Linked DNA regions of Rhinolophus ferrumequinum. The protein of the gene in region 2 interacts with the protein of the main gene of each other region in a pairwise test. Links are inferred from orthologs where the notes say so. Each region holds a gene or a part of one and is shown on either strand. Other genes may lie near its edges. The genes, in order: SPZ1, DTNB, PPFIA1 and SNTG2.

Evidence for each region.
Region 1: the proteins of DTNB (region 2) and SPZ1 interact in binary tests that used the Homo sapiens proteins (3 or more experiments, as listed by UniProt). The two-hybrid records come from large-scale screens. The link is inferred for Rhinolophus ferrumequinum from reciprocal best matches to the Homo sapiens genes DTNB and SPZ1.
Region 3: the proteins of DTNB (region 2) and PPFIA1 interact in binary tests that used the Homo sapiens proteins (3 or more experiments, as listed by UniProt). The link is inferred for Rhinolophus ferrumequinum from reciprocal best matches to the Homo sapiens genes DTNB and PPFIA1.
Region 4: the proteins of DTNB (region 2) and SNTG2 interact in binary tests that used the Homo sapiens proteins (3 or more experiments, as listed by UniProt). The link is inferred for Rhinolophus ferrumequinum from reciprocal best matches to the Homo sapiens genes DTNB and SNTG2.

The regions. Positions count from the first base shown.
Region 1 is NC_046290.1:51,735,232-51,740,995, forward strand, and holds SPZ1 (spermatogenic leucine zipper protein 1), read left to right. Parts: upstream 1-4,138; 5' UTR 4,139-4,141; coding exon 4,142-5,260; downstream 5,261-5,764. UniProt on the Homo sapiens protein: Transcription factor that binds to the DNA sequence 5'-CANNTG-3'(E box) and the G-box motif. May play an important role in the regulation of cell proliferation and differentiation during spermatogenesis.
Region 2 is NC_046296.1:54,567,585-54,575,141, forward strand, and holds the start of DTNB (dystrobrevin beta), read left to right. Parts: upstream 1-4,548; 5' UTR 4,549-4,567; intron 4,568-5,092; coding exon of another isoform or gene 5,093-5,279; intron 5,280-5,371; coding exon of another isoform or gene 5,372-5,664; intron 5,665-7,557. Other genes in the region: protein SSXA1-like, read right to left, coding at 5,093-5,279, 5,372-5,664.
Region 3 is NC_046294.1:3,075,932-3,083,435, forward strand, and holds the start of PPFIA1 (liprin-alpha-1), read right to left. Parts: upstream 3,023-7,504; 5' UTR 2,805-3,022; intron 1,541-2,804; coding exon 1,277-1,540; intron 1-1,276. UniProt on the Homo sapiens protein: May regulate the disassembly of focal adhesions. May localize receptor-like tyrosine phosphatases type 2A at specific sites on the plasma membrane, possibly regulating their interaction with the extracellular environment and their association with substrates.
Region 4 is NC_046296.1:70,931,679-70,939,349, forward strand, and holds the start of SNTG2 (gamma-2-syntrophin), read right to left. Parts: upstream 3,018-7,671; 5' UTR 2,869-3,017; coding exon 2,794-2,868; intron 1-2,793. UniProt on the Homo sapiens protein: Adapter protein that binds to and probably organizes the subcellular localization of a variety of proteins. May link various receptors to the actin cytoskeleton and the dystrophin glycoprotein complex.

The DNA.
Region 1 (5,764 bases), on a different chromosome or scaffold from region 2:
GATTATGCTTTTGGTATTGTATCAAAAAACTCATCACCAAATACAGAGTCACACAGGTTTTCTCCTAAGTTTTCTGGAAAATTTAGTTTTGTATTTTACAGTTAACTCTATGTTCCATCTGGAGTTAATATGTTTGTAAGTTTGAGGTATGTGTCAAGGTTTATTTTTTTTACATATGGATGTCCAATTTGTGTAGCACCATTTATTGAATTGCCTTTGTATCTTTGATAACAATCAGTTGACTATGTTTGTGTGTGTTTATTTGTATTTTGTTCCATTGATCTGTATGTCTATCCTTTCACCAATATCACTATCTTGATTACTATATCTTAGAGTAAGACTTAAAGTAAAGTCATTTGAGTCTTCCTACTTTTTTTTTCTTTTTCAATATTGTTTTGGCTATTGAGGATCCCTTGAATTTCCATATGAATTTTAGGGTCATATTGTCAATTTCTGCAAAAGAGGCAGCTGGGATTTTGAGATTATGTTAAATCTGTAGATCAATTTGGGGAGTATTGCTATCCTAAAATCAAGTCTTCAAATTCATCAGCATGAGATGTTTTTCCATTGATTTAGATCTTCTTTAATTTCTTTCAACAATACTTTATAGTTTACAGAGTGCAAATTTTGTTAAATTTGTTCTTACATACAGCTGATTCTGGTTATGTGCAGTAATTATGTTATACAGTCGCTGCCAACATTGAATTAGGGAAAATAGAACTACTGCTTCTAAGGGAAATACACTGTTAAATTCTTGTGAGCCTCTGGTCACATTTTTGTTAGTCACAATGTAATTTGTGTTATATAAGTTTGTTTGCCAGCGACTTGGTAAAACAAGCCAGTCTCAGCAGCTTTGAAAAACTGCTCTTCTACATAACCCTTTTGCTGTATAACCATGAGCATATATTTAAAAATTCTCCCACAGCCTCCTGATCTGCAGAGCCTGCCTCCCCTGGAAATTTAACAAGTGAAAGACAGTTTGGGGAATATAATCAATAATGTAAAAATAAATAAATAAATAAATAAAAATCAATGCTTCATTATATACAATTCATGTGCAAGCTGTTTGTTTTACTTATTTCTCTTCTTTACATTAATCTACATAATTCCACTTTGAATTTTTAGCCAAAATAAATTTGCGTGTTACTTAAAAAAAGACAATAGGCTTGGACTCCTGCTCTATCTATAACCATTTGTAACTGTGGGAAAACACTCAGAATCTCCACTCTCAAACTCTGAAGAAAATAAGACTGTGGATGAGAATATCTACCCAGTTTCACTAATTCGAGAATTTAATAAAAAAAAAAAAAAAACACAAAAACGTTTGTGTAATAATTTTAAAGTCCACAGCACCATCTGGAGGTCAAAGGGAAGAAGACATGTTGAGGAGAAGGGTTAATATCCCTGTCCCCCTATGTCTGTATTTTGCTTGTTTGAATAAAATTTCACATTTTCAAAAAATTTCTCTTCTAAACTAGCTATACACAAGTACTATACTACATATAAAAGCAATCATATAAGTCATTATGTTTAAAATCACACCCTGCATAGAATCCCTTGTGCATGTAAAGACTAATCCTCGAATAGTCATCTGTAATCAGTTAAAACAAAACAATTGGACAATTAGAACAATTACACAAAATAAAAACACACCTCATTATACCAAAAGAATCCCATCATATTAAAATTATTTATACATATTTGAGCAATAAATGATAGTATTCATTATAACCCCTAAAATAAAATAAATACAGGAAAAAAGGCAGCTCTTCTTTACAAAATAATTCCAATCAAAAAATGTAAAAGGAATGAGAAAAATAGAAAATCACCATTAGCTCAGCACTGCAATAATCGTTGCAGGCAAGATCCACTCCTATATACTAAAATTATACTGTATAGGCAAAAGTTTGAGGAGAAACCGGATAATTTCAGCATCTCAAAATATCTCCCCCAAGATATTTGTTAATTACAAAGGGAAAGATAGTGACTTTATAGTGAATAAATCTAGCAGATATCCCTTAGTGAAATGACCGAGGTTAACATCACCAAAAATAAGACATATTGACATCATGTACCCTTTGATATCACTTATATTTTTGTTTAAGCAAACTGGTTTTGGGGAGAGAGAAAATTCTATACAAGTTTCATCTCTAATATTTTTAAAAACAGTTTTTGCATTTCTTTCTTAAAAGCCATTAAGCTACAGGAAACTTAATAGATAACAATTGTAAGACAAACCAGATGTACTTCATTTCCATAGTTATCTACTGGAAATATGGGTCAATAAGGAAAAGAAGACCACTCTGAATATCTTTTAGCATCTATAGCAAACTCAAATTTCAGTAAAGTTAATAGAAATATTATTTGAAACTCCATTATATCTGTAAGGAGGAAGAAAATATTTAAATCCTCTTTTGATGAAAGGAAAATAATTCTTTTGGTACCTTGACCCAGCTACTCTCAAACCAGTTTCCATAAAAATCAAGGGTAATATCAGATTTATGTCCAAAAGTATAAAAAAGCTGCAAGCACAAGAAGAAAATAGAGAATACATTTTCTTTTCAAGTATCCATGAAAAATATATGAACATTGATAATCTATTAGGCCAAAGAGAAAATATCAATTTCCAAAGGTCTAATATTATATTTTCTGATTACAGTACAATAAAGCTAGAAGTTAATATCAAAATCAGAAAAAAATAGAAAGTTTCCTCGTCTTGGAGGTTAAAAAACTATAATAAAGGATGGCTTGAGTCAAAGGGGAAATACCAACCAAAGTCAGAACTTATGAGATGGAATTAAAGCATAAGGGCAATTACTAGCCTCTATGGTATCATTGGGTGAATTGCAAAAGCTGCTCCCTGTTCAAGGGGAAAAAAAGACCAACACTGCTGTATCTGTGGATTGTCATGAGGCTATGGCTCTGAGCCAGCTGGCTGGGAGATGAGAATGAGGCTCAGGGAAATTTAAGCCAAAATGAGTCAGTAGCTGTGAAAGAAAAAAACATAAACTTTTCTTCTTTAAGGAAGAAAAGGAAAAAAAACCTGCTAGAGTATGAGTTTTCCCTTAAGACTGGAAACAAACATCTAGTTAGTAAAGTGATTGCTAACAAGATTTTGAAGGCTAGGAATGTGTTCTTTGATTGAACTTAATATTCACAAGGTAACTTCAGTTTCTTTTCTATAATATAACCCAGTATAGGGTTTAGCTGTTTCAAATGCTTTCGATACATTATGCCATTTTAACAAGTTCTTGTGAAAAGTAATGATTGAAGTTTTGTATCACCTGACGTAAAGGACTTAGGAGCACACTTAGTAAGCCTATCTTAAAGGATACAAAGCCAAGAAAAGTCCCAGTTTGTAATTGTGTTGTTAAGGAACCATTCACATGGTCTGTTCTTACTCAATAGAATATTTTTGAATGGAGCAATTCCTGACATTATTTGTCTAAAATCACAAAAAGATGAAGTACTTTGGGGGTTCTATTTTGTAAAGATAACTCTTTTACAGTAGCATCTCTCCTCCAATGGAAGCAATAAGTTGTCCAGGTGCTATGAAATGATGGGGAACGTCACCAGGAGGGCTCCTCTCAGCCATACACTTAGGAGGTAGAAAGACACTGCGTGTTAAGGTTGGGGTTGTGGGCGGTGGGAATGAGGTAGAAAGTCATTAAATACAGTTAGAATGAGATGAGTAAAAACCTAGGAAAGTTAAAAGAGGAAAACTGGCTAGAGATCTTTCTGGAATGAGGAGTAGGATTAGCCCAAGGTTGATTTTGATGCAAGAGTCACTCACTGGGTGGGGGGTTAAGAGGCTTCTATTGTGACACAAAGGAAACAGAAGCTGGGGAAGACCTGGTTGCTAGGGTCAGGGGAATAAACACCAGAAGCCTGGAGGAGGAGAGATGGGGCCCTAGCTCTGGGTCCTCTCTCTCACCCCCCTCCCCACTCCGTTGTCTGCGATGTCACCTTCCACGTGAATATCATCTACATGGTTTCAAACCTTAACTCTGGTCTCTAACTTCTGCTTAGTTCCACATGCTCTACCCATTTGCACAGAGGACTATCACCTCTCCTTCCTGGAATCTCTAAGGTTTTCTGTTTTCCTTTTGCCCTGATCACCTGCCCTGCTTACTCAGCTGAGATGGAAGTGCCCACCGTCTCTGAAACTCTTAAACCTACTCCTAATCTCAATCAAGAATCTTTGGACCCTAAGATTGTCATTGCCTTACTTGGATCAACTCCTCCTGTCTCCTGGAGTTCTCTTCTTTCCCTAAATAATAGTTGCCAACAAGAAACTGAACAACAGACTGAAAAGAAGTTTGAAAATCTCTTAAAAGAAATTAGAGATATTCTTAAATATATGACAGGTTATGAAGACAAGATCACAGAAGCAAAAGAACTTTTTGAGGAAACCAATATCTTTGAGGATGTGTCAGAACTTAAAGAAGAAATCAGAGGACTTGATAAAATAAATAAAGTGCCATCAGAAAACCTGCTTGGCTGTTTATATGTAGACAAAGAACACAGGGCAGAGAAACAGACGATGACATTGGAAAACCAGAACTCAAAGGACACAGTGCAAGGTTTTGCAAGGAATTTGGTAAATCATTCAGGAAAAAGAAGAGCTTGCAATGAAACTCAACTACATAAGGAAAAAGCAGAGTATGGATTCCATCACGTTCAAGAAGAAAATATCAAACTTAGGAACAACATGGATCAGTTACTACGGGAAGCAGAACGCTGGAGTGTGCAACATACGGAGCTTTGTGGACTAATAAAATCATATCAGAAATCTCAGAAAGACACAAGAGTAACTCTTGAAAATCATGGAGTCCATTTCCAAACTCAACAGAATACTGAGGTGTCAGCTAGTTATGAGCGAGAGGCACAGGTGAGGAAACTGAACCATGACATGTATTCATTGCATTTGATTGCAGCTTTGCTGGAGAATGAATGCCAAATCTTACAGAAGAGAATAGAGCTTCTCCACCATCTCCATCATCAGAAAGACGGAACTGTGCAAGAGAAGCCAATTCAGATAAACTATGAACAGGACAAGAAAGAACAGAAGCTATCAGAAGCAGAGAAGGTAGAAAGGTCTAAGCAGAAAACGCAAGAAATGGAAGGTACGTTTCAGAAAAGAGACAAATTCTACAGAAGCCTGGATGCTTGTCATAATAAGAAAGTTCGTAAGAACAGTTTCAATACTCGTATTGCAAGAAGAGTTCTTGTGAGAAGAAAGAGGCCAGCTAGTACCTAAGATAGAAAATACAAAAAGGAGAAAAAAAAGGCAAAATTTTTCAAAAAACTATGATTCATCCAACTCCAGGCATCATCAATCATCAAACCTAGAGTAGATCTGTTGGTTCAACCGAGAAAGAGCTATAGAATAAGATTAACATTATTTGTTACCTCAGTAGTTACATAAGTTTGGTCTTTAATGGCTGTTAGTGTCAACATCAAGTTCATAACTTGTCACCTTTACAATTGGCTTGTTTTGGTAGTTATTAAATAGACATCCCTTGACACTTTAACCAAAAGTGTGAAGTTACATGTCCAATTTAGTAAAGATCTAAATAAAGACCAGAATAAAGGAAAGTTTCTTTTTATTTAATCATGACCTGGGGTGTGGGGGCGGGGAGGTGAAGTTCTGGGGGAAAAAGTATATAACAATTTAATTGTGAATCTTCAAACCTCATTTTCTAAATGTAAGTTCCTTTTTCCTATTATCCAATGAAGTGTGGGAGGTAGTGGAGTTAAAAAA
Region 2 (7,557 bases):
CAGAGGAGGAAATGCGTGAAAATGCCTTGTTTAGGGGCCTGCACTCCCTCATCCCCATTCCTGTTTATTACCTTACAGGAGTCTTGGCCCTCCTGTGGTTCCATTAAGAAAATAACAAACACTGAGCTTCATGGAGAAAGCTAGCTAGGAGTCCTTCACAAAGGACTGTGGGAACCAAAAATTGGTAATGTGTGATAAGGGACAATTTCCCTCTAAATATAGAATTACTAGCCTGAAATTAGCTGCCAACCAGCCGTCTTTGAGTTCTTCTGACTATTCCAACTCTACCATTTGGGTTTAATTCCTGTTCACATACAGGCCAATGATAGTTTAACATTTCTCCCTTTATACCACTATCTAACTCTTCAGAAATGTATTTTTAAAATTATGGTACAAGAAATTTTACAGGAAAACAAAAGGAATTTGATAAATGTCTCTTGTATGTATCACTTCAACTTTCCTGGCTTTTGTCCGAAAACTTATCAAAGTGTAAAACTAACTCACAAAGTTAGAAAACTAACTTATCAAAGTTGGTCTCCTACCCTCCCACAGAGACGGGGAACCAGGGATCCTTCAGGTGTTTGCTGGAGCAAACAGTAGATTCCTTGGGCAGCCTTGAGCTTTCTCAGGCAGGGGCTTTATAGGGTCATCCCAAGGAGGTGGCCTTGAGCCCTTAGAAACTATGTCAGTGTTTGTTCAAGTCTTGCTAGGCCAGGATTGAGGCCTAGTTGAGGAAGGGCTCAGAGGAGCCGGACTAGAGTTTGGTGAAGGAGACGATTATTGTTACCCTCCAGATGCGTTTCCTGGTCCCTCGTGACTTTCCAGGCCCACGTCCCAGTCCTTCGAGAGCCTCGAGTCTGTCTGTTGCTCTTGGGAGCCCTCAGATACCTCTGTATTCTCATAATAAAATTTCCTGTATTTAAGCTAATTGGCTGGAATTCTGTTCTCAAAAGGAAGCCATCACTAAGACAAATCACTTTACCTGTATGAACACAACCCACATACTTGTCATTTTTGGTGCTTAAATGGCCATTCTTTCATGGTAATGTATCATAGCCTGTTTCACAATGACTTGGGTCATTTCCAGAGTTTTATGCTTATTGATAGTGACTTTTTTCCTCCTTATATAAGGTCAAAAGCTGTGCTGAGTTCAGAGCCCTTGTTACATTGCTGCCAGCTTCCACTCCAGCTTAAGTGCCGCCAGCCACACTTCAGGGCATCGATTTTCCCATAGCCCCATCTAAAGAGTTCCATTTTTATTTATTTTGGTTTGTGTAAGGATACCTGGGAGTTTCCTTGGTATTTTTCAATTGCGAATACAATTTTACGAGGTTAAATTAGATAACATAGACCCTAGCAAAGAGCCTGGCATATAGTAAGCTATTATTATGATTAACAGTGATTGAGTCAAAAATTGAATGTTGACCTTACATGTTGGTGTGTTTGTGTTTTTTCTTATGTATTTGTTGGGGGTTATTTCTCTTTTTATCCACTGGGTCTCTCCTTCTCAGCCTATGTGTTGCCTCAGGGCTGAGGCCTCAAGTCTCTTTTCTCTACTCGCTCTGTAAGTGATTTCATTTAGTCTCGAGTCTTTATAACTATCTGTATGCTGGCAACTCATATTCAGAGCTCCAGCGTGGACCTCTCTCCTGTACTCCAAACATATCTAGCTGCCTATTCAACTTCTCCGCTTGGATGTGGCACCTCGAACTTAACTTAAACTTAGCTTAAAGCTGAACTCCTGCTCCTGCCGAAAGCTGTTCCTTCCATTGCCTTTCCCATCTCAGAAAATGGCAACACCACCCTTCCATGTACTCAAGCTAAAAATGTTTGAGTCTTCCCTGACTCATCTTTTTCTTTCATACTCTACAGCCAGTCTCCAAGTCCTCTGGGCACTATCTTCAAAATACACCCCGAATCCAGCAAGTTCTCCCCACCTCCACAGTCACCACTCTGGCCACGACACCCTCATCTCTCACCTGCAAAATCTTCTAACCGGTCTTCCTACCATGTTTCCCTGGTGATAAGACCTACCGCGAAAATAAGCCCCAGTTAAGATCGTCAGCCAGATGGACACATTTAGTACGTTATGACAATGTTCCAGAAGAAGATGACGTGATTGTATTTGAATAAATGTAGATTGTTATACATGAAAAAATAAGACATCCCCTGAAAATACATCCTAATGTGTCTTTTGGAGCAAAGATTAATATAAGACCCGGTCTTATTTTCGGGGAAATACGTTACTTGTATGCTTGTCCATCCTCAACATTTCACCTTTGACCTTGGCCTTCCTCCTGGTCATGCGAAGCTTGCTATAGTCCCAACTTCATGGTGAGCTATAACAATGTGCAGAGGAAAAGAGGAATCCTCCAATAAGAGTGAGAAGACCATTTGCAGAAAGCTCTCCAGCAGAGTTCCTCTCACTTGCCCATCTCTAAACCAGTCACTGGTGAAAACAATAGGATTACTGGAGAAGACTAATCAGGCTTCTCCCTGAGTTGGAAATAGGGTTATCTTCTCTGACAACTGAGCCTCTGTTTGTTGAGGAAGAAATGGGGGAACACCCAAACAGAGTCTGCCATGATGTGGTAGGTCAGAGAGTCCATAAGAGTCCAATTACTTTTCTTAACTTGGTGTCAGTGGCCCTGTAGCCACAGGCCTTGGCCATATACAAAGACGAGGTCTACCTGACCAAAGAAGGGATAGGGTTGTGGCACGTAGCTTGGGTGTCTTTCTGCCAACCAGGAGATTCCCACCTTTCTTTCTTGGGACCTCTGTTGTGTCTGCTTGCTTGCAGGCCGTGAAGGAATTCACGAGTCAGGTAGAAATATAGAAGGAAGATTTATTAAAGTAAGAGAAAAGTCGACTGGGCAGAGTCTGCTGGAAACTACTGCAAACTACTGCATCGAGTCTTTGATCTCAAGTTTTATATTTTCTAACCAGGATGTAAATTGCTTTGGCCTATACTGGAATTTTCTGTTGATGTCTGCTTTGTCCATTGGGGTGGGAGAAGATTCAGTTAAGCTGATTATTGCAACCTTTGCATAAGTTATGTAGATTTAAATTGGAGCCAGGAGAGGGGATCCCATACAGATGCAAAACCTCTCCCAAGTCACTGGGCCAGCACTGGGCTGAATAGAAACATTGACACTGCATAGTAAATGTACAGGAAGCAGGAATCATTAAGAGGCAAAGAAAAGAAAGCTTTCAGAAAGTCCTAAGCTACATTACAGTTGTTAAATCAAATTATACCAGAGATCCAAATCTCAAAATAGAAGATTTAGTGCCACCATTACAATCCCCTGTCTTAACAGTCCCTTTATTTCAGCTTAATGGAAGAAGGTATTTACTTATTGTATTAGTATCCTAGGGGTACTGTAACAAATTACAACAAACTAGGGGCTTGAAACAACAGATATTTATTCTCTCACAGTTCTAGAAGCTAGAAGTCTAGAAATCAAGGTGTTGGCAGAGCCATACTCTCCCAAGGCTATAGGTGAAAATATGTTCCATGCCTTTCTCTTAGCTTCTGTCTCACCAATGCTTGGCCTTCCTTGGCTTAGAAGAGTGTCACTCCAGTCTCAACTCCATTGTCACATGGTCTCCTCCCTGTTTGTCTCTGTTTTCTCTTCTTCTAAGGACATAGCCATATTGAATTAAGGACCTATCCTACTCCAGTATGACCTCATCTTAACTAATTACATCTACAACTTCCCTATTTCCAAATAAGGTCACATTCTTAGGTCTGGAGGTTAGGACTTCAAAATATCTTTTTGGAGGACACAATTCAACCTGTAACACTTATATTTAATTAAAATTTAAATTCTCTTTAGTTCTTTTCCAATCTGCAAGTCTTATCTTTCATTTTCTTGCCTATTTTTCTGACCTATAAGCAACTATAAGTTGCCCTCTATGCACTGCATTAGCTGCATCCCATAAATTTTGGTATGTTGTGCTAAATTTTCTTTAAAAATTATTTTATGTTAAGGCTTGACTTGAATTTGCTATGTAGGTATTAGTTACTGAAGTTTTGAAGATAAAAAGAATGTATAAAATAGGTTCCTCACCTTTAATGAGTAAGGGTAATTTACTGAAAAATTTAATAAACTAGCAGCCATGAATTAAGGATGATGGTATTTTTAAAGAGAGTGTACGCTGTGTATTAACTTCCTTTCTTTTCTGTTAGTTGTTCATGCCTAGGTTGTGTCTTACCATGGTGCTAACAGGGCAAAGCTTGATTCCATTGCATATCTCCTGTCAGTTACTAAATCACAGATGCTGTGTGTAGGAGGAAGAAGCCTTAACAGACTTTATAATCTTAAGACTACATGTGAAATTTTCATTTCAGTGTATCCCTGTTTCAAGTTTTATCTGTGAGCCAGCAACTTTTTGTTTAGTTAATCGCCTCCATTTTACGGAACCATTTTTTTTTTTTCTGGCAAAAATTGTGTTTATTAACTGCCAGCGACTGAGACAGAGCATCACAATAGGGGATTGTGCCACGGAGCAGCTGCCGAACAAGGAGCAGGACGAGGGGTACATGTCCATTACACGCTGAATGCAGGTTGGATATGTTCAAAGTTGTACCGTCTCTGAGTGTCTGTCTTTGTGTTTATGTTTGTTTTTGCGGGATGTGGGTGTGTGTGTGTGTGTATGTGAATGAGAGAGAAGGAGAGAGACAGAGAGAGAGAGACAGAGAGACAGAGAGAGAGAGAGAAGTGCGCTCGTAAGTGCAGAGAAAAAAATGTCTGGAATCAGTCTCCCACAACTGCCCTGTGGAGTCACACGGGGGAGATGGAAAGTAGTGCTCTTCTGTGCAGAGACACCTGAACATACCTGGTTCCTGAGGTAAGTGCCTGGACACATAGGCAGAAATAGACCTTAGGGATATGTGTTAGTCATCCATGAAACACGAACACCTGACGGAATGTTAGACGCACTGTAAGAAGCATCGTGCTTAGCGTTTCACGGTGGTGAACTTTTCTTTCACTTGCTTGAGGCCTGATGGCCAGAGGTTCACAGCTTTGCATATGTTCATGAAAGGCCACCAGATTCTTCTTCATGTGATGGGCTCGTGTCACATCCGGATTTAGTCATCTTCCTTGGGGTCACTAACCTCTTCACAAACAACTCGGTTCTTTCTTTCCCGCAGCCTGTGGGCCCAGACACTAGACTTCACTTTGCTGGGTCCTGACATCTTCTCAGTCTCCTGACCAGAGGAACTCACTTCTCCTGGGTACACAGCTTTTTCGGAGCCGGCTCCGAGGCAGGCGTTACTGGTAGTGGCATCATATCATTTTCTTCCCTTGCCGGCTCCATGGGCTTCTCCTTCTCATCTTCTATCCATTGCACATCGGAAGCCTCTTGCGGATTTTCATCCTGATTCCTGGGGCTCTGATCTTCGTCAGAATCACTCTCAAGAGCATTTGTAGACTGATTTGGAGAATGCATGAAGTATGGGCAGTTGGTATTGAGACCTAGAAGAGTCATGTAGTCGTAGTTTCTCTTCATGTACACATAGGTTCTTTTCTGTAAGTCTCCCAGCTTTGCCCATTCTTTCTTAGAAAAGTTTTTGGAAATATCATCAAAGGCCTCATATTTCTCCTGTGATTTCTGGGCATCCTCTCTGTGGCTCTTTGCCAAGGAGCTGCCTCTGTCCATGGCGCTGGGAATGGTGCGATGGCCAAGGGACACAGCGCGAGTCTCTCCAGAACCAAGGCCAAAGATCCTCAGAAGTGAGGTGTCAGTGAGGGGTCGATCCCCGCAGAGATGAATAACCGCAATTCAGTTACCCAGGGACCTTCGACCACTCGGAATAGTTAGTGAAGTGGATTTGGCCCACTGCAAGTCAGGATAATACTGGGGAAGTTGAGGCAGGAGTGGGGTCCTTACGGAACCATTTTTAAGACCGATGGGTGGAATTCATTCAATGATGGAGTATTTATATTCTTAGGATTCCTAGAGGCTGGAGGAGATATAGGCTGAAAGGGAAGCATTACAATGAGACTACATCTTTGTCAGACAGTTTCCCTCTGACAAAGATGCTTGTCTCACCTCCACGCAACTCTCTTCCCCAGAGCATCCAACATCACTGTGGTATTAAGCCTCTTCCAGTATGCAGGCATTCCCCTGCGTATGTCTTGTTGGCTTTCTCTGTCCAACAGAGTCCTCCAAATCTCTTATGAGTCTCAAGAACCGGTATTTTCTCCTACTGCCCTCTTTCCCCAAGGAAAGATGATTCTGTTGTTTCACTGAGTTCACTGTAGGAAAACTTGACATTAAGGAGAATATTTTTTTTTCAGACTGTGTTTCCTTGCATAACAACACCACTTGTTTATGTAATTCTACCCAGAAGTGGCCGGCCCCTGGCATTTCTCTCCTGGGGTGTTTATAGGCTGTTATCACAGCTCCCGTCACCTTACAGGCTGTGAAAGGAAATTGGCACTTTCAGCCTTACTTCTCCCTCCATCCACATACAGGCAGAGGCTGAAAATCTATCGCTCTGGAATGAAGTATGGGATGAGGCATGAAGCCACTCACAGTATAACTGAACCAGAAATGGTCCCAATAAAAAGCCAGATTTTTAGCCCTTCACACCACTTAGCCCAGAGTGCATCTTCTCTTGCTGTCAGTAGAGCATCTCCCAACCTGCTGCTTAAGCAGCTGCTCAGGGGCTGCTCATCTTCACTGGCCTCTGTGTCAGGCCATTAACAAGCTGTTTAAACAATAACAGAACAGGCTGCGCTTGGAGCTGCCAGCCAGCCGGTCTATCGGGGACTTCACTGGGAATGTTTTTTGACCTTTCAAGGTTAGTGAATACTCAGCAGTTATATACAGTTCTGTTACTGAAGGTTGCAGTCCTGAGTATTGCTTATTATCTTATAATTCAGAGAAGAAAAGGGACAGTAGAAGAGTAGTTTTTAATAACTGTCACACTATAACACATTTTTAAAAATTTCAAAGAAACAAAGGTGGTCACCACTCTTACAAGTTTCATTTTTTGGCATATTGTTTAGTTTTTCATATTTGTATAGCCATAATGATGTCGATATTTTCTACACTTAATAATGCATATTATTTAATATTCTTTTATTAATATTTCCCTAAGTTTCTATACAATCTTTATGATAATTTTAATGACTGCCTAATTCATTGCATTGACGAGTATCACAGATGCCATACCATTTCCTTGCCTGTTGCATATTTAGATTTTTACAGGAGAAGTCATTTAGTTGAAGAAGGTGCCAGAGAATGTAGTGTTCCTTAAGGAGGCGGTAAGGGGGCCCACAGAAGGGTCCCACTGCTATGTGAGGGCAATGAGTACCTTTGGGATGGGTTTGTAACAGGATGCCAAAAGCAAACTACTCACCTATTTGATTCGAGACTAATCCTGGTACTAAGTACTTCAACTCATGCTTTATCTTTAAAAAAAAAAAAAAAAAGAAAGAAAAACTTATGTAAAGAAAAAGGTGCTGAGGCATGTACTATTTTTAGTCCTGCATGAATCAGATGGTGGCCTCTCAGGGTCCCAGAGCCAGAGCCCACTGGTCCACA
Region 3 (7,504 bases), on a different chromosome or scaffold from region 2:
TCCCTTTCTTGTTATGTCCTGTGCTCCTTCTTTCAAAAAACTACCTTATCAAATGCCTATTTGATTATACTTGACTATATGTTCCTTGAATTATGTTAAAACAAATATAATCACACACACACACACACACACACACACAAAAACTGAAAAGATTTACGAACACAATAAAATCCAGGTAAAACACAATTTGGCCAATCCTTTTAAGCTTCTTGTAATAAAATGTGACCTAAACAAACTTGGTAATTTAGAAAATAAGAATGAGAAAACTCTTAATGATTCTCTAATCCAAAAAAGGGAACATTATTGCACTGACATCAAATTATTGTTGCTAAAAAGGAAATCCAAATGCTTGGCTTATCAATCTTTCACGAGGACTGACTAAAGCCAAGAAACGCATCAAGGCTAGTAATTATTCATTTACTAATCTGCCACTGCAGCCCCATCAGGAGACTATAAATGTATGCTTCTTCAGGTCTACCTGGAAGCAAAAGGCACCTCTTATGAATAAGTAAAACGGCACCTAGACAGCTCATAAACACCCAAGTACCCTTCCTGTCTCCCACTATGCTCTGCGCCATTAACCTTACATTTCAGTTGACACTTTCTCCCTTCACCTATCATTAAATCCTCGCTCAGCTCCATAAGAAAAGGCTTTGAAACACTGGGCCAGACGTAATATACTTACATTAACAACTCCAGTGTGATTCTAAGCTTTATAATTCTCATCTGCCAAGGAGAAGGCTACAAAGGAATCCATCTCCAGTATTCTAGTCCCTAAACCAAATTTGATTTACAAAACACAGGTGTTCTGACGAAGGTAGGCTGTAAAAATATTTTTCCTGTGAAACCAATCCTATTTGTCCATTGAATGTCATTAGGAAACTGGAAATACAAGATACAATCCATGGGACATACACGTTTAGCACAAAATGCCTTAAGACAACAATCGAAAGGTACCACATAGCTGCTTCATGGCCCATTTTCAAAAACTTTGGAGAACTATCCCAAATCTAGGCAGTTCCTTCTGCTGCCTCGAAGAAAGGAACGCGAGTCATGAGGTGTTTTCACACAACTTTAGAGGACCACAGAGTTTGTTCTCCCTAAGGGTAATCCTCAGGACCTTCATGTATACGTGACTGACGTACAAATGCCAGAGCCATTTCACAAATGATTGTGCAAAATACTCATCTAAAATATCAACACCAAAGAAAACGACACCATAAAAAAAAATTAGTGGAAAAAAAAGTGTAAAGCTGCCCGTGAAAAGCATCCATACCTGTGGAAGTGCAGTGTTGAGCTGCCTCTGCAAGGAATCTCTTTCATGACCAACCTCGTGTAATTTCCCCTGGGTTAATGCCAGCGTTTCTTGAGTCTCTCTCAGCGTGTCAAGAAGACGGTCCCTCTCCTCCAGCATGGAGACCATCAACTGTTCAAAATGTGAATCTGCGTCTGGCTGCGAAGGGGAGCCGGACCCATGGCCCCCACTTCCTCCTGGGGGGCCTTCTGCTTCACTGATGGTCGGCATCACCTCGCACATCATCTTGAAACGAAAGACCCAGACTACAGTTATTAAGTGCCTCTCCCACAACTCTGCAAATTTACAGCCATCTGTAGCTAAAAAAAATGAAAGGCTGACGACCTCTTTATTCTCTTTATTCTCTGATGCCCTGAACATCAACAAGCTGGGAAAACATACACACGCAAATCCTAGGTGATGGAACATACAAGATAAAGGAAGACACAGACAGACAATAATTCAAGGAAGGGATAAAGACCAAAGACTACCCCTCGCATAAAGAACAAACCCTTGGTATTTTGTTTGCAGGGCTGTACTTCTAGTTGTTGAAAACAAGTGTGCTTCTGTAACCTATTTTTTTTTCCTATTTCCCGGTGGGGGAGAGAAAGTCAAAACACGTGCCACCCAATCACTTTTCAGGCAAAGCACAGAAGGCGCATACAGCCAGTAAAACTGACAAGTACAAAATCCATCAGGCATCTTACAGGAATGTGTGCAGTCAGCCCCTGGGAGGAACTGACGGCTCCCTGAAGGCTCGGGCTGGGTCTGGGGAGCCCTAAAAGGACTGGATTCGTTAAGGGTTGGGAGAGGAGTTTTTCAACGGCTGTAGTGGTTGGTCAGACAACCTAACTTATGTAAGTTAACAGAGCAAAAAAAAAAAAAAATTCCACAATGGAAACAGAGACGGTCGATACAGCCGTGGACGGCGAGGAAGGAAGGAAAAGTGAAAGATGAGATTTTGAGAGGCGACTAAGTGTCTCATCTATAACGATGGGGCGAGGAGCAAGGGAGCCGGTTCCTGAGGCTGCCGGCGGTATCCCGGGCTTGGCGGACCCCCGAGAGGGAGATGCCCGACACCGCGCACCGGATGGCGGTAACCTCCACCCACTCCCACCGCCCCTGGCGCTGCAGAGACCCCAGACCCCCGCCAGGATGGTGAGAACCACCTACAACAGCAGCGCTGCCTCGCTTGGGGCTTCCAGCGGCCACAGGTGCTTGTCCCCGGCGCCGGGGTCACCCGGGCGCCAGGGTCAGGGTTGGGGGCAGCGGGCGGTCCCAACAGCCCGTCCCTGAGGGCAGGGGCGCGTCGTCCGGGAGTCCCGGGCACTCGCAGAGCTCTCCCACCGGGCCCGGCGCCGCGGGCCTCGTCGCCAGCCCCCGCCCTCCACCCCCGGGGTGCACCCTTCACCCCGCGCTGACAGGAATCGGCCGCGCAGCCGCCGCGGGACGGGCCGGCGCCTGGGGCTCCGCTCCGCCCCGAGCCTGCCTCAGTGTCCCGCTGCCTTACCTTGCTCGCCGGCGGGAGCGGGCGAGAAGGCTCCGCGGCGGCTCGCGGGCGGCCGCTCGCTCCGGGCGAGCTTGGAGCCCGACGAAGGCAGCCCGCGCCCGCGCCCGCCGCCCGCCCCGCGCCCGCGGCCCCGGGCCCGCTGCCCCCAGTCACTAAGGCCGGCCCGCGGCCGGACACTGGCGGAGTGCAGGAGGAGCGGGCCCGGCTGCGCGACGCCGGCGTCAACGTGCCCGACGTCGGGCGCGACGGCACAGCGTCAGCGCCGAGCGCCGCCGACCCGCCCCGCCCCCCAGGAGGGGCGACGGGGAAAGGGCCGCGGCTGCCGACTGCGCAAGCGCCGCCTCCACAGGTGGGTGGGCTGCGCCTCCCGGGCGCCGATTGGATGGGCGCGGCCGGAGCCCCGCCCCTCCAGGCCCCACCTGTGTGCGGTCGCCTCGGCCCAGCAGTGGCTTCGGGCTCTGGTCCTCGTGCGCCGTCCGCATCTTCCACCTCTGGGCTTCCCCAAATTCTCCACCCACGGCGCGGGGACGCCAAAGCCGTTACTGAGCGTCTACTGTGCATCAGGTTCTGAGCCAGACACCTGCCCGACGTCACGTCTACACACCTTACGGGGGCGCGCGCCCGGGGGGAAGCCACCGGCTAGCGACAGGTCGGAGCCCGCGGTGTCACCTCCAGAGCCTCCTGGGAGCTGAGCCATGAGGACTCGGAAGGACGCGGTTTCTACGAAGACCCATTGGCCGAGCTCTACCTGCTGGGTTGGCAGAGACGGGCAGCGTTTGATGCTGGGGCTTCGGGGGCAGGGTCGAGAGGGCAGGCTTTGGAGCCAGGCACACCTGGTTCAACTGCCAGCAGATGCTTCTCCCTGCGATGTGTGCCTGGGCAACCGAGGGGAATTCGTCTGGGATTCACCTCATTTCTAGGGTGGGAAAATGATACAGACCTACCCCAGGGCTGGTAGCAAAAACAGAACATATGCAAAGAGCAGCTAGTCGAGAACCTGGCTGGGGAGGCGCTGTGTAGAATGGTAGTCGTTTTCATCCGACTCAAACATTTTTACGCATATTCACACTTAGGCAAGCTTTTGAAAACATCAGCTGTGTGCCACGTCCTGTGCTAGATGCCGCAGATACAGAGATTAACAAATACAGCTTTAATAAATAAAAACAGGTGCTCCGCCCTCCGGATTTGACTCCTGGAGCACAAACCTGTCACAAACCAGTCAGGGCACTGTTGCCAGGCACCAGTGGGCACTGTCCGGCGGTCCGTGGTGAGGCAGCCAGGAGCCCCTGAACTAATCGAGTTTAAGGAAAGGCTGCGTGGAAGGCTGGGTGAACCCTTTGGATTCCTTGATTCTCCACTGTGAGCCCAGCAAGTCCAGGTGCTACCTCTGATTGGCTTTCTCGCCTCCCGGAGTCCAGGACCACACCTTTTTCATTCATGTATTCATTCACTCTCGATTTATTGAGTGACTACACATCAATACGAATTTGCACCCCTGACCCAAGGTCTGAAATAGAGGAAAGTTTCCGGCTCTCCAAATATGTACCCGCTGAATTCATCCAGCTCGTATTTGCACCATGCTCCTAAAGTACCTGTCTCCTAAGAAATCGACAAAATACCAACATTTAGTTCAACAGGGTAGAATGTTCGTTTACATCTGAATGTCTGGAGGGCACTCTGAGCCAGGCATGGCCGAGGTTTGGGGAGCACAGAGTTAAGGCATCGCTTCCCACCAGTTCACAGCCTGGAAGAGAGAAGAGAAACAGACTATTGCAATGTTTGTCCTATGAACCCTGTGTGACTGGTGTTGTGGGACCCTAGAATAAGGAGGAACAAACTCTCCAGCTGGCATCACCGGGGCTTCGCAAAGGAGAAAACATCTTTCTGGTTTTCAAAGGATGAGCAGTTTCCCCAGCAGGGAAGGGAGAAGCCCGTGTGGTGTAGCTCCAGGGAAATGAGATCCCAGATTTCACTTATTTTCATTCATTCATTTATTCCTCCTCCCCTCCCCCAATCGCAAAATCACTAAGAGGAAAATGGTAAACCACCTAAATGGCCAACAATAAGAGATTGGTTAAATCATTGCACTTCCAAATGACAGAAAGCTTGGTGACGTTCACAATTATATTTTAGATAACCAGCTAATAATGACAGGCAAAATTCTGTATCTCGATTGTGGTGGTGGTTACAAGACATATGCATTTATGGAAACCACAGAATTCTACCTTACCATGTAAAGTGTGTCCTATTTTTTAGAAATGGGAAAAAAACTTTCTTAAAAACAGCAAGTTACAAACAAGTATACAAGATGTGATCAGACAACACAGTGAATGTTTAAATTTTAAAAATTATGACAGTAAAAGACACATTGCCATTAATCCCACTCAAAATACTCCCCCTCGTTTCAAACACACTTATCCCATCCTTCGTGGCACTTTCTGAAGCCGTTCTGGAAGTCCTCTTTCCTGAGTGTCTTTAGTTGCGCTGTCATGGCTGCCCGGATGTCCTGAATCGATTCAGACATTTTCCTTTCATGGTCATTTTGACTTTGGGAAGAGCCAGATGCCACATGGTGCCAGATCCAGTGAATAAGGTGGATGAGGACACACTATGATGTTTTTATTTGACAGAAATTGTCATATTCCAGAAGCGATGTGTGACAGAACGTTGTCATGATGGAGGATGATTTATGGCACACTTTAAAACACAACTTCTCTCAACCGTAGCTCACATCTGACTGATTACACCGAACAAGTTGAAACTTGCCACACACTGTTTCTAAGTTTCAATGTGCCATTTCCCGTATTTCTGGCTCTGCCCCAAAGTCAAAATGATTCAGGACATCAAGGCAGCCATGACAGCACAACTAAAGACACTCACTAAAGAGGACTTCCAGAAATGCTTCAGCAAGTGGCAAGAATGATGGGATAAGTGTGTTTGAAGCGAGGGGGAGTATTTTGAAGGGGATTAATGGCAATATGTCTTTTACTATAATAATTTCTTTTATTTAGACAGTCACCATATTGTTTGATCACACCTTGTATACAATGAGCCCAAATTCAAAAAAGCAAGCAGTCTGTGTTTAGATGAAGCATGTATTATGTAAAATTCACTTTGTACATTAAAAACTCTAGAATGTTATTAATCAAAATAATAGAATTTTCAGAAAATGAGTTTTACATGAAATGAAATATTCTTGAAAGTGAAATTAAATTTTAAGTCTCAAATTTGTAAAAGAAAAACATACACATCTATATGTGAAGATATTGTTCACATCTATATGTGAAGATATTAGTGTTTTATATTTCTCTATACAAACATATACATATATATTCTTGGAAAGAGATACATCAGGATGTTGGCACTGGTTGTCTTTGGGTGGGATCGTGGGTAGTTTTCATGTCCTTCTTTGTGCTGCTCTGTACTTTCTAGATACTTTATGGCGAATGTGCATTGTTTTTATTATTAGGGGGGAAAAAGCCCACAAGTGGTACTTTAATAAAAACTAGGCAAGAATGAACCATGGAGAATTGCTCAGGAAGCTAAAATGACTTTTAGGTGTCGTTATGTATACCACCCAGTTAAACTATCTCTGAACAACACTGCAGAGATTGGGAGGCTTCCTTATAAGCTTCAGTCGGGAAGACAATGAACGTGGAAAAAAAACAGAAGAGAATCTAATTCTTCTGTTAAAGTTTCGGTACAGAAAATAAGGTAATATGGGTGGTGAGGGGTAGAGTTTATTACTATGCCCAGGGTTGTGTCTTCACAAATGTGCTTCCAGCCTCGGCTCTGGATGATGTAGTCAGTTGTCAACTTTGGGTATGACCCGGCCACCTCTCCTTTCTAGAGAGGTAGGCAACCCACAGAGGAGGGTTCCTGTGAGATCAGAGTGTGTCATAGAGATGCGGATGTGTCTCGAGTTTATCTAGATTATGTAAGCAACCTAATGATGGTGGCGTGACAATGACACTGGGGGAAGTTCTGAGCTGGGAGAGCAGTGTGGGGGTGGATGGTGGGAGATGTGGCCCTCCCTTTAGGAGGAAGAGACCGAAGCCAGAGAGGCAAAAGGGCCTTGCCCAGAGGCACTGTCTTGGGGTAGAGATGGGACTGGAGCCTGGAGTGAACTGAGGGTGCCTAGTTCCTGAGTCCACCCCGCTTGGGTTTGCCGTGTACCCCTGCTAAGGTGGGGGGTCGGGAAATGAGGGGAAAGGGAAAGAAAGAGAGCTACCATTTTACTTATTCATCTCATTTAATTCTCAAACTAATTCCCCACGTGGCTTCCTGTATCTTTCCATTTTGCAGACGAGGAAACAGGTCAGAGTGGCCACTAAGCAGGGGGGTCATCAGCCTGAGTATCCCAGTTTCCAAGGCAGTTCTATGTCTCATGGTCAATCAGGTAACTGAAAGTTTGGACCACCGATGAGCCTGCTGGGAGTGAGCGTGGTGTGTGTCAATCCCCGAGAACATGGATGAGAAAACACATTTGCAGAGCATTTTACAGAAAAGCCCTCATTCGATCCCACCTCCTTTTGTGGAGAACACTGAGACTTGCAGAGAGGAGATAACCCGCCCAACACCCCACAGCCTATGATTTGGTAGAAGCTGGGCCTTGAACCCAAGACGGGCTCCAGAGCCAGGGTTCGTGATGCTACATCCAAAGGTGTCCCCAGACCCCCAAGGCTGGGGACCAAACCCCT
Region 4 (7,671 bases), about 16 Mb from region 2:
TCGCAACCACAGCTGGAGGAGAACGCGGCAGTGAAACGAATAAAACGTGTCTGAAATCACCTCTGGTCCCGTCCACGGTCCTGGCACCCACTGACAATAAAGTCGTGGCACAACCGATAATGTGGAGGATACTTAGGAATCTTCTCATAGGTTAAACTTGGTTCACGCTTACATTTTTTGAAATATTTTGGTGTTTTGGCTGAGCCTAGAACATCTTTCCTTCTTCTACAGACCTTTCATATTAAACACTATGACTGTAAATGTTTCCTTATCGTTACAAAACGCTCAGTTCCAAATAAGAGGGAATTCAACAGCTTAAAATGTACTCAAGTTTCTCTCCTTGTTGCTGGGACCAAGTCCTAGAGGGGGTCACGTCGGCACGTGCAGTGTGAACACCAGGTCTGATCTGAGCGTAGCCGCCGCCAGGGACCTGCGCGTGGCCCCACGTGATGGACAGTGACGTGCTCACATCACCGTGGCCCAACAGCCTGTCATTGCTTCTGAGGCCATGGTAGACACGGCTCCTCACACCCTAGTAAACGCGCCCTCCTGGACACACCGCCCTGAGCCTTAAACTACATCTATGACGTCACAGCACGGACGCAGGTGACACCCCCACCGTCAGGTCACGCTCACACGCCTGTGCGCTCGAGCCACCCCTACCTGGGCGCACGGCACCTGCCTGCCCCACTGGGCACCCAGGTGTGAGCAGGGCCCATACACACATCTGGCTCCCGGCTCAGAAAGCGGTCCTGTTCCCTATCCCCATTTCAGATGACAACATGGGGAAGAGGCAAGTTTGCTGCCCCTTTTCTGTCACTGGTTTTTTGGGGGGTGGGGGGGTGGGGGGGATAAAGTGCAGTGGTCTTCCTGTGGAGAGGAAACAGGTAAGACAGAGATAGGTCACTCATGTGTCCACATCACCTCAAATGCTGCTGCAGTCGTGACAAGAGCCCTGAGAAAGCAAGCGTGTCCCCAAACAGACGCGGACCCACTAAGTGCACTGCCATGCTACCGCTGAGCCACGGTCCAGACACCACACACACCCCCTTCAGACCTGCAGGCTCCCAAGGATTAAGCAGCACTGTTTTAGCCTGATGTCACTCCATGATTCTAGGAACTGACAATGTAAGATGTGTTTAGGGAACTCGCATGATGATAGCCGACATTTCCATTTCTGGCTGAGTAATCTCTGTAACGTCATCTCCAAGCCGACGTGTGAATTTTGGAGCTTGAAGAACTTTTGCAAGATTCTAACACCGCTTCCTCTTTTTACAATTGGAGAAACTGAGCCACGGGGGTTGACTGGCTTGACACTGGCCATATTTTAAATGCAGCAAAACTGAAAATTAGAAGCCAGCCCTCCCTAGTTTCTCCACCTCCTGCCACTCACGTGTAAGACGCTCGGGCGAAACGGCCGTCACGAGGAGAACGTAGAAGTAACTAGAAGCTGGTCAGGAGGGTGATGTCACGTCACTACCACTGAGAGCAGTCGAAAGAATGAAAGTCTTGTCAGCAAGTGGCGTGACATGTCTGTGTGAGGGCCTGGCTGTGCGTCAGGTCTTTAGAAAAGGAGTGACCTTTGAACCGCAACGTCAAGCATGTTACGAAACAACACAGCTTCATTTTTAAAAGAATAAGTGAAGACCCGAGTTTAGTATTGAGTTACGTCACCCTGGACAGTTTTACAGTAATCGCAGCACATCAGCCTTCGTTTTAACCACAAAGACCAAGTGAGCGACAGAATAAAAACGTACTGACAGAGGTGAAACACATACAGCTTGTCTGCACAGAGAAAATCTGGTCAGAAATCAGTTGAGTATAAAGCGAGCTGATGATCACATCAAATTCTGTTTACTGAGAAAATTTTCTCAGCTTTACGGCAAGGACGACAATTATTTTCAGTTAGTAACAAAAGGCTAAAGACGCCAGTGGTGAAAACTGAAACTGAAACCCTACGAACATCACTCCCTGGGACCGCACAGACTAATGACTGGATTTCTGTCACATGACAGTAACGTCAAGCGCTACTAAAAACAAACAAGGTATAATTTTTTAAAACATTAAAATTTCACGTTGTTGCATTGTTTAGGGGACTGTGCTTGGGCACTGCTATTCGGCAAAGTTTCGTTTCCAACAACGTCTGCTCTGCAGTAGCTCGCATCCTCGACAAAGTAATGTGGGCCGTGACTGGCACTGATTAAGTGCGGAGTCTCCCTGGGAATTCAGGGCTCTGCAATGCAGTCTGCACTAGGACTAAATGAAAGCGAGAAGCAGAGCGATTTATAGGCACTCGTTTGAGAAATAACTAAGAAGCTAAGTACAAAGAAAAAGTCATGTTTCCCCAGATTCACACTAAGCACAGAGCTTGACTCGGGAAGTTTCCAGGACGAAAATCACAGCCCACGCACGGTGCGAGCTCAGCTGCCACTCCAGCAGCCGCCTCGGGAGCCTGCATGACTCAGGCCTCCTTGGAAATTCTCTGAGAGGCCGTCCTGCGCCCTCACGTTCCCCTCAGGCCAAACCACGCAGATTAAGATCTGAGAGGAGGCTGAACAGTATGCACAGAAATCCGGGCTTCTCTTCACGCGTCACTAAACCTGAAACGATGACAGTGTCACCTCTAGTAAAACACAGGCGCTAAGGACTCGGCTGCTGTGCTTTCCAATTGCCCACCAGGCCGCCTGTGTCTGGCCCTGAAGTCGGGGTCCAGCCCCCAGCCCCCCACACGCAGGGGGCCCCGGTTCTCATCACCCGGTTCTCAGCGACCACAGCAACGTCTGCTCCACAAACCTGGAACTCCTCTCCCCTGACGCTCGTCCATAGTCCTGTGTCAATGTCCTGAAAACCCTTGTTACTAGTCCGCATCCTATCATGTATTCAGCCAGCTGTACTGAGCGTCCACCAAGTGACAAGCAGGCGTGGTCAGCGTGAGTCACAGAGAAGCCACACTGCTGTCCCATCCAGGCTGGTGTCCAGTGACTAGCAGAGCCGCAGACACACGCCGTTTATAAAGGGCCTCTGAACAAAGGTTTGGGGTGGCCTGGCCGGCGCGTTCAGGAGAGGCTCCTCCAAGGAACCTGAGAAGGAGGGGAGGACAGACAATTCTGGGCAGAGCAAGAGGCCGCAGGTGCCCAGGGGCCGCAGGAGGGCATGGTGAGTGGAGGACACAGACGGGCAGTGTCAGGGCAGAAGGAGGGGAGGGGCAGAGAGCAGTTGGCGGGAGAAGGGAGGTGGGTCCACGCCCCCCACACAGAACCTCACTGGCTGGTGAGGACGTCACTCACCAGAGTGGCACTCGATGCCTCTGGAGCCTTGGACTAGACCCACTAAGTGCAGTCGACTGACCTCTGACCAAGGAGCTGAGACTGTCTCTTCAACAAATGGCGCTGAAACAACTGGACGCCACGTGAAATACAATGAATCCACACACAGACCTCATTGCCCTTCACGAAAATCAACTCAAAATGGATCAGAGAACTAAATGTGAAATGCAAAACTGTGAACTCCTGGAAGGCTACACAGGAAGAAACCTGCATGACCGTGACCATGGTGACGACTTCCTAGATCCGACCCCAAAGGCACGACCATGGAAGAGGCAGCTGAGAAGCTGAACTTCATGAGAAGTAAAGACGTCTGCTCTGTGGAAGAACCGTCGGAGGGGAAGGCAAGCCACAGACCGGGAGAAAACATACGTGCGAGACACGTATGAAGAAGGGCTGTTATCCAAAATAGACAAAGAGCTCTTAAAACTCAGCAACAAGAAAACAAACCACCCAATTAAAAAAATGAGGCAAAGACCTTAACAGACCCCTTGCCACAGAAGACATGCAGGTGACACATAAGCTCACAACCTGTGTCATCAGGGAGACGCCAATGAAAACGACCAGACCCCACCACACACCTATCAGAAGGGCCACAATCCAGAACCCTGACGTCACCAAGTGCTGGCAGGACGTGGAGCCACAGGAACCCTCAGTCACTGCTGCTGGGGACGCGGAATGGAGCAGCCGTCTGGAGGAGAGTTTGCTGGTGTCCAACAAAACTGAACACGGTCTAACCATATGACCCAGCCACCACGCTCCTTGGTACTTACTGAAAGGAGTTAAGGACTTACGTCCACAAAACCCTGCACACAGATGTTAACGTAACTTCAGTCTTAATTCCCCCAACTGGGAAGCAAGCAGATGCCCTCCAGTAGGTGATGGATAAACTGTGGCACATTCATACAATGGAATATTATTCAGGTAAAAAGAAATGAGCTCTCAAGCCATGAAGGACATGGAGGAACCTTAAATGCTGAAAGAATAAATGAACGAAGCCAGTCAGAAAAGGCAACATACCCTATGACCCCTTTCTACGACATTCTGGAAAAGGCGAAACCATGCAGGCAGCACAAGGATGGGTGGTTCCCGGGGTTGGGGGGGCAGGGATGAGCCGGCTGGGCTCAGGGGACGGTTAGGGCAGTGAGACTACTGTGTGTGTGTTCTAGTGATGGGTCAGGTCATTATCCAAAGTCCCCTACACAACGCAACATACATTAACATGTATTAATATTCCCAATGTCAGTCGTGTATCTTTGAAGGTGTCAGAAATAAACACTGTATCCAGAAAGTTTTGTAATTGCAATTTGATTATGGCTTCTGTTCCATTTCTTTAATTTCTTCAATAAGAATCTCATCACTTTTTTCTATCATTTGTTCTATCTTCCATATCTCTTTTTTCTCATAATTGTGTATGTTCTTTTCCTCTGTATTCTTAGAAATCATAGTTTTCTCAATATCACTAATTTGATTTCTACGTGTTTTCTGCTTCTTACTTATTTCTGCGAGTGCAGAAGTTTTTTTGTTTCATAAAAAGTCATTTGTTTGCTTTTCAGTCCAGCACACAATAAATTGTGCTGTGCTCTGCAGGACAGCCTCAGACGTGCTTTCGTTCCCCCGCCCGGCTCACCCCACACACTCACCCTGGCTGAGCCAGTTACCACTGTGTTTGGCTCCTGCCAGGAACAGCCGGGAGCCACAGGACACCCCTTGCCCCCTCCCTGACGGCCTCAGTACAGCAGTCAGTTCCCTCCCCGACTGCAGCGAAGGGCAGCGTGAGTTGTGCAGCGTCTCTCACTCGCTGATGGTTATGAAGAACTAAGGGGCTTGTTCTTACAGCCGCTGCCTGGTCTCAGGATTCCTGGGAAAGCTGAAGCAGCCCGCCCCCCCACCGCTTCCCCAGGAAGACACCACTCTGCAGGCGGCCGGGACACCACCCTGCCTGGTGCTGTTCGGACGTTCGTGGGGCAGACACGTTTTCCAGGCTCCAAGGTACCTTCTGGGGCTGGCTCATATGACGGGGCTTTTGGGGGAAGGGGGAGACTGCCTCACGTCGCAGCTCACGATTAAGTCAAAGCCGTAAGAGGATTGTGGAGAAGAAAATACAGCAGGACTCAGTGAGTTCCTGAACGCAAATATCCTGATACAGCAGGTCCACTGGGGCACAGAAAGCCTTAGAGGCTCATCGATTTGGAATAAAGCCACAGGTTACTTTTTTCAAATGTTACAGAACAGAAATCTCCATCCTCCCTTCCCTCTTCCCCGGAGCTTCCGTTAACATGTGACTATTTCACAGCCACACACGACTTCAGGACTGAACCCCGTCTGAGGTGCTGGCTTCCCCCTGAAACCCAGACGGTAACCCTTAGACTCACAGGGACGTGAGCTCGAGTTCCTCAAGCTGTCAATGGGCTCCGTCTCCAGACCTGACCTGTCGGGTCACCGGGTCACCGACAAGGACATGCAAATTCCCAGCATGCCGTGTCTGTCGGCGTCAGTGTCTGGCTGGTGTGAGTCTCGAGTGAACAGGAGAGGGGAAGAGGCCAGCGAACTGTGACAGGGTGTAGGGCCCCCAAGTCTCCCGTGGGACATGGCAGACACCTCCTCTCAGCCTGCAAGAATGAACGAGCTGACGGCTTCACCTCAAAAGCAGACTTGCTCACTAGTAAGTTACAAGCTGAGGAGTAAGTTCAGCCTATAGGATGTCTCTAAAAGGAACACAAACTTCATTAAGCTCACTTTCCAGGAAAAGTGCACCCACTTTTTCCTTTGACTTAGGAGGACGTTTCCAAAACAAGCCCAGTGAGTTACCGTACACCAACTCTACTGCCCTCTCCTTTGATTCCAGCGAGAACACTCATATCCTGGCAGCAGCGCTTGCGGCAAAGGACAGGGTGTCCATGGTGTACAGGTTAGAGCAGCGTGAAGAGCCCCTCTGCTTAGGGCGCAGGAGGCTAGGATGACATGTGTCCGAGCCCAAGGCTGAGGTTCCAGGTGACCAGACACTCACCCATCATGAGAGAAGCTTTGGACGTGCAGGCTGGACACCGGGGTCCAACACTGAAAACTGCTGTCCCGGTGCCATAACCTCAGCATTTACAAAAGGACCCGTCCCTCCCTCGCCCGGAACACCACCCGCCGGAGGTGAGGCCGGCCCGAGAGCTGCAGCAGGGGCAACTCAGATGAGACAGCACGCATGGCAGGACAAGTGGCCAGGATGCAGGTCGGAGGTGGCCCAGGGGGTGGGGATGAGCGCCTGGGACAGGAGCTCGGCTACAGGAGGTGGGCTATGCTCAGCAGAGGGGCGGGAGCTGGTTGTGGTCTCCACAGAGAGAGAGCAGAGTCCCTGTGACCCGAGCAGGAAACGAGGATGGTGAGGCCCCTCAGCTCAGGGAAGGGCCTGCACGTCCCATTTCCATCACTAATCAGGACGTTCTTGTCTTTTTTCCCATTAGCATGAGCGTATGCTATTAGCCAAAAACAAGGGGAAAACCTTTGTTCTCTTAAAGGCACGAATTTGATAAAGTTTCGCCTTTAAAATGCCAAACACTCAGTGACAATGCAGCTCACAGAAAACATCTGCCCCCGGCCACAAGCAAGGACAGGTGTCGCCCACCAGGCTAGGGCAGCCCATTGCATCGCCTCCTAGTCACACCAAGACTGGTCCTGTGTCACCTGCTGTCCTGTCACACACGGCTCCACACCATCACCCTCCCCACTTTCCAGGCCCCAGGGAGGAGGTGTCCTGCAGGGACAAGACAAACATTTTCATGTCACCTCTCCCCATTCTCAATCCAGTCTGGACCAATTTCTAAGGAAAACTGACACACGCCATAGCCTAAGTGCAACCAAGAACAAGCAGGACTAAGCGCCTGATAACGTGGGACACCTGGGACGCCTGGCAGGCACTCGGGTTTCCTGCAGGGGCTGTGGCTGGGACAAAGTCCCTCAGGAAGGACGCGACGTCCTCAGATGAAATCCAAGCAAATGACCGATGATGGCTCCTCCTCCTGGAGCCTCAGCTCCGTGGCCACTGTGCTCACAGAGGCCCCTGCGGGGGGCAGAGTTCTCCACTCCGGCTCCTTTGCCCACCACGCCCTCCAGCTCGTCCGTGACCCTGGCTGCTTCCCAGTGCTGCCCGCGTGCACCCGGCAGGGTTCTGGACCCCAAGTCATTCGCTCCCCTGGCCTCTGTGCCCTTGCGCCCTCAGGCACTCTGAGGAGCAGATTAGCAACATGTGGGCACCAGCCTCGGGGACGACAGCCGCCAGGCTGAAAGCACAGCTCCCACCCCCACTCCAGGCAGGAGCCTGGACTGCGTGACCAAAGCCACACTTACTGAGCTACCG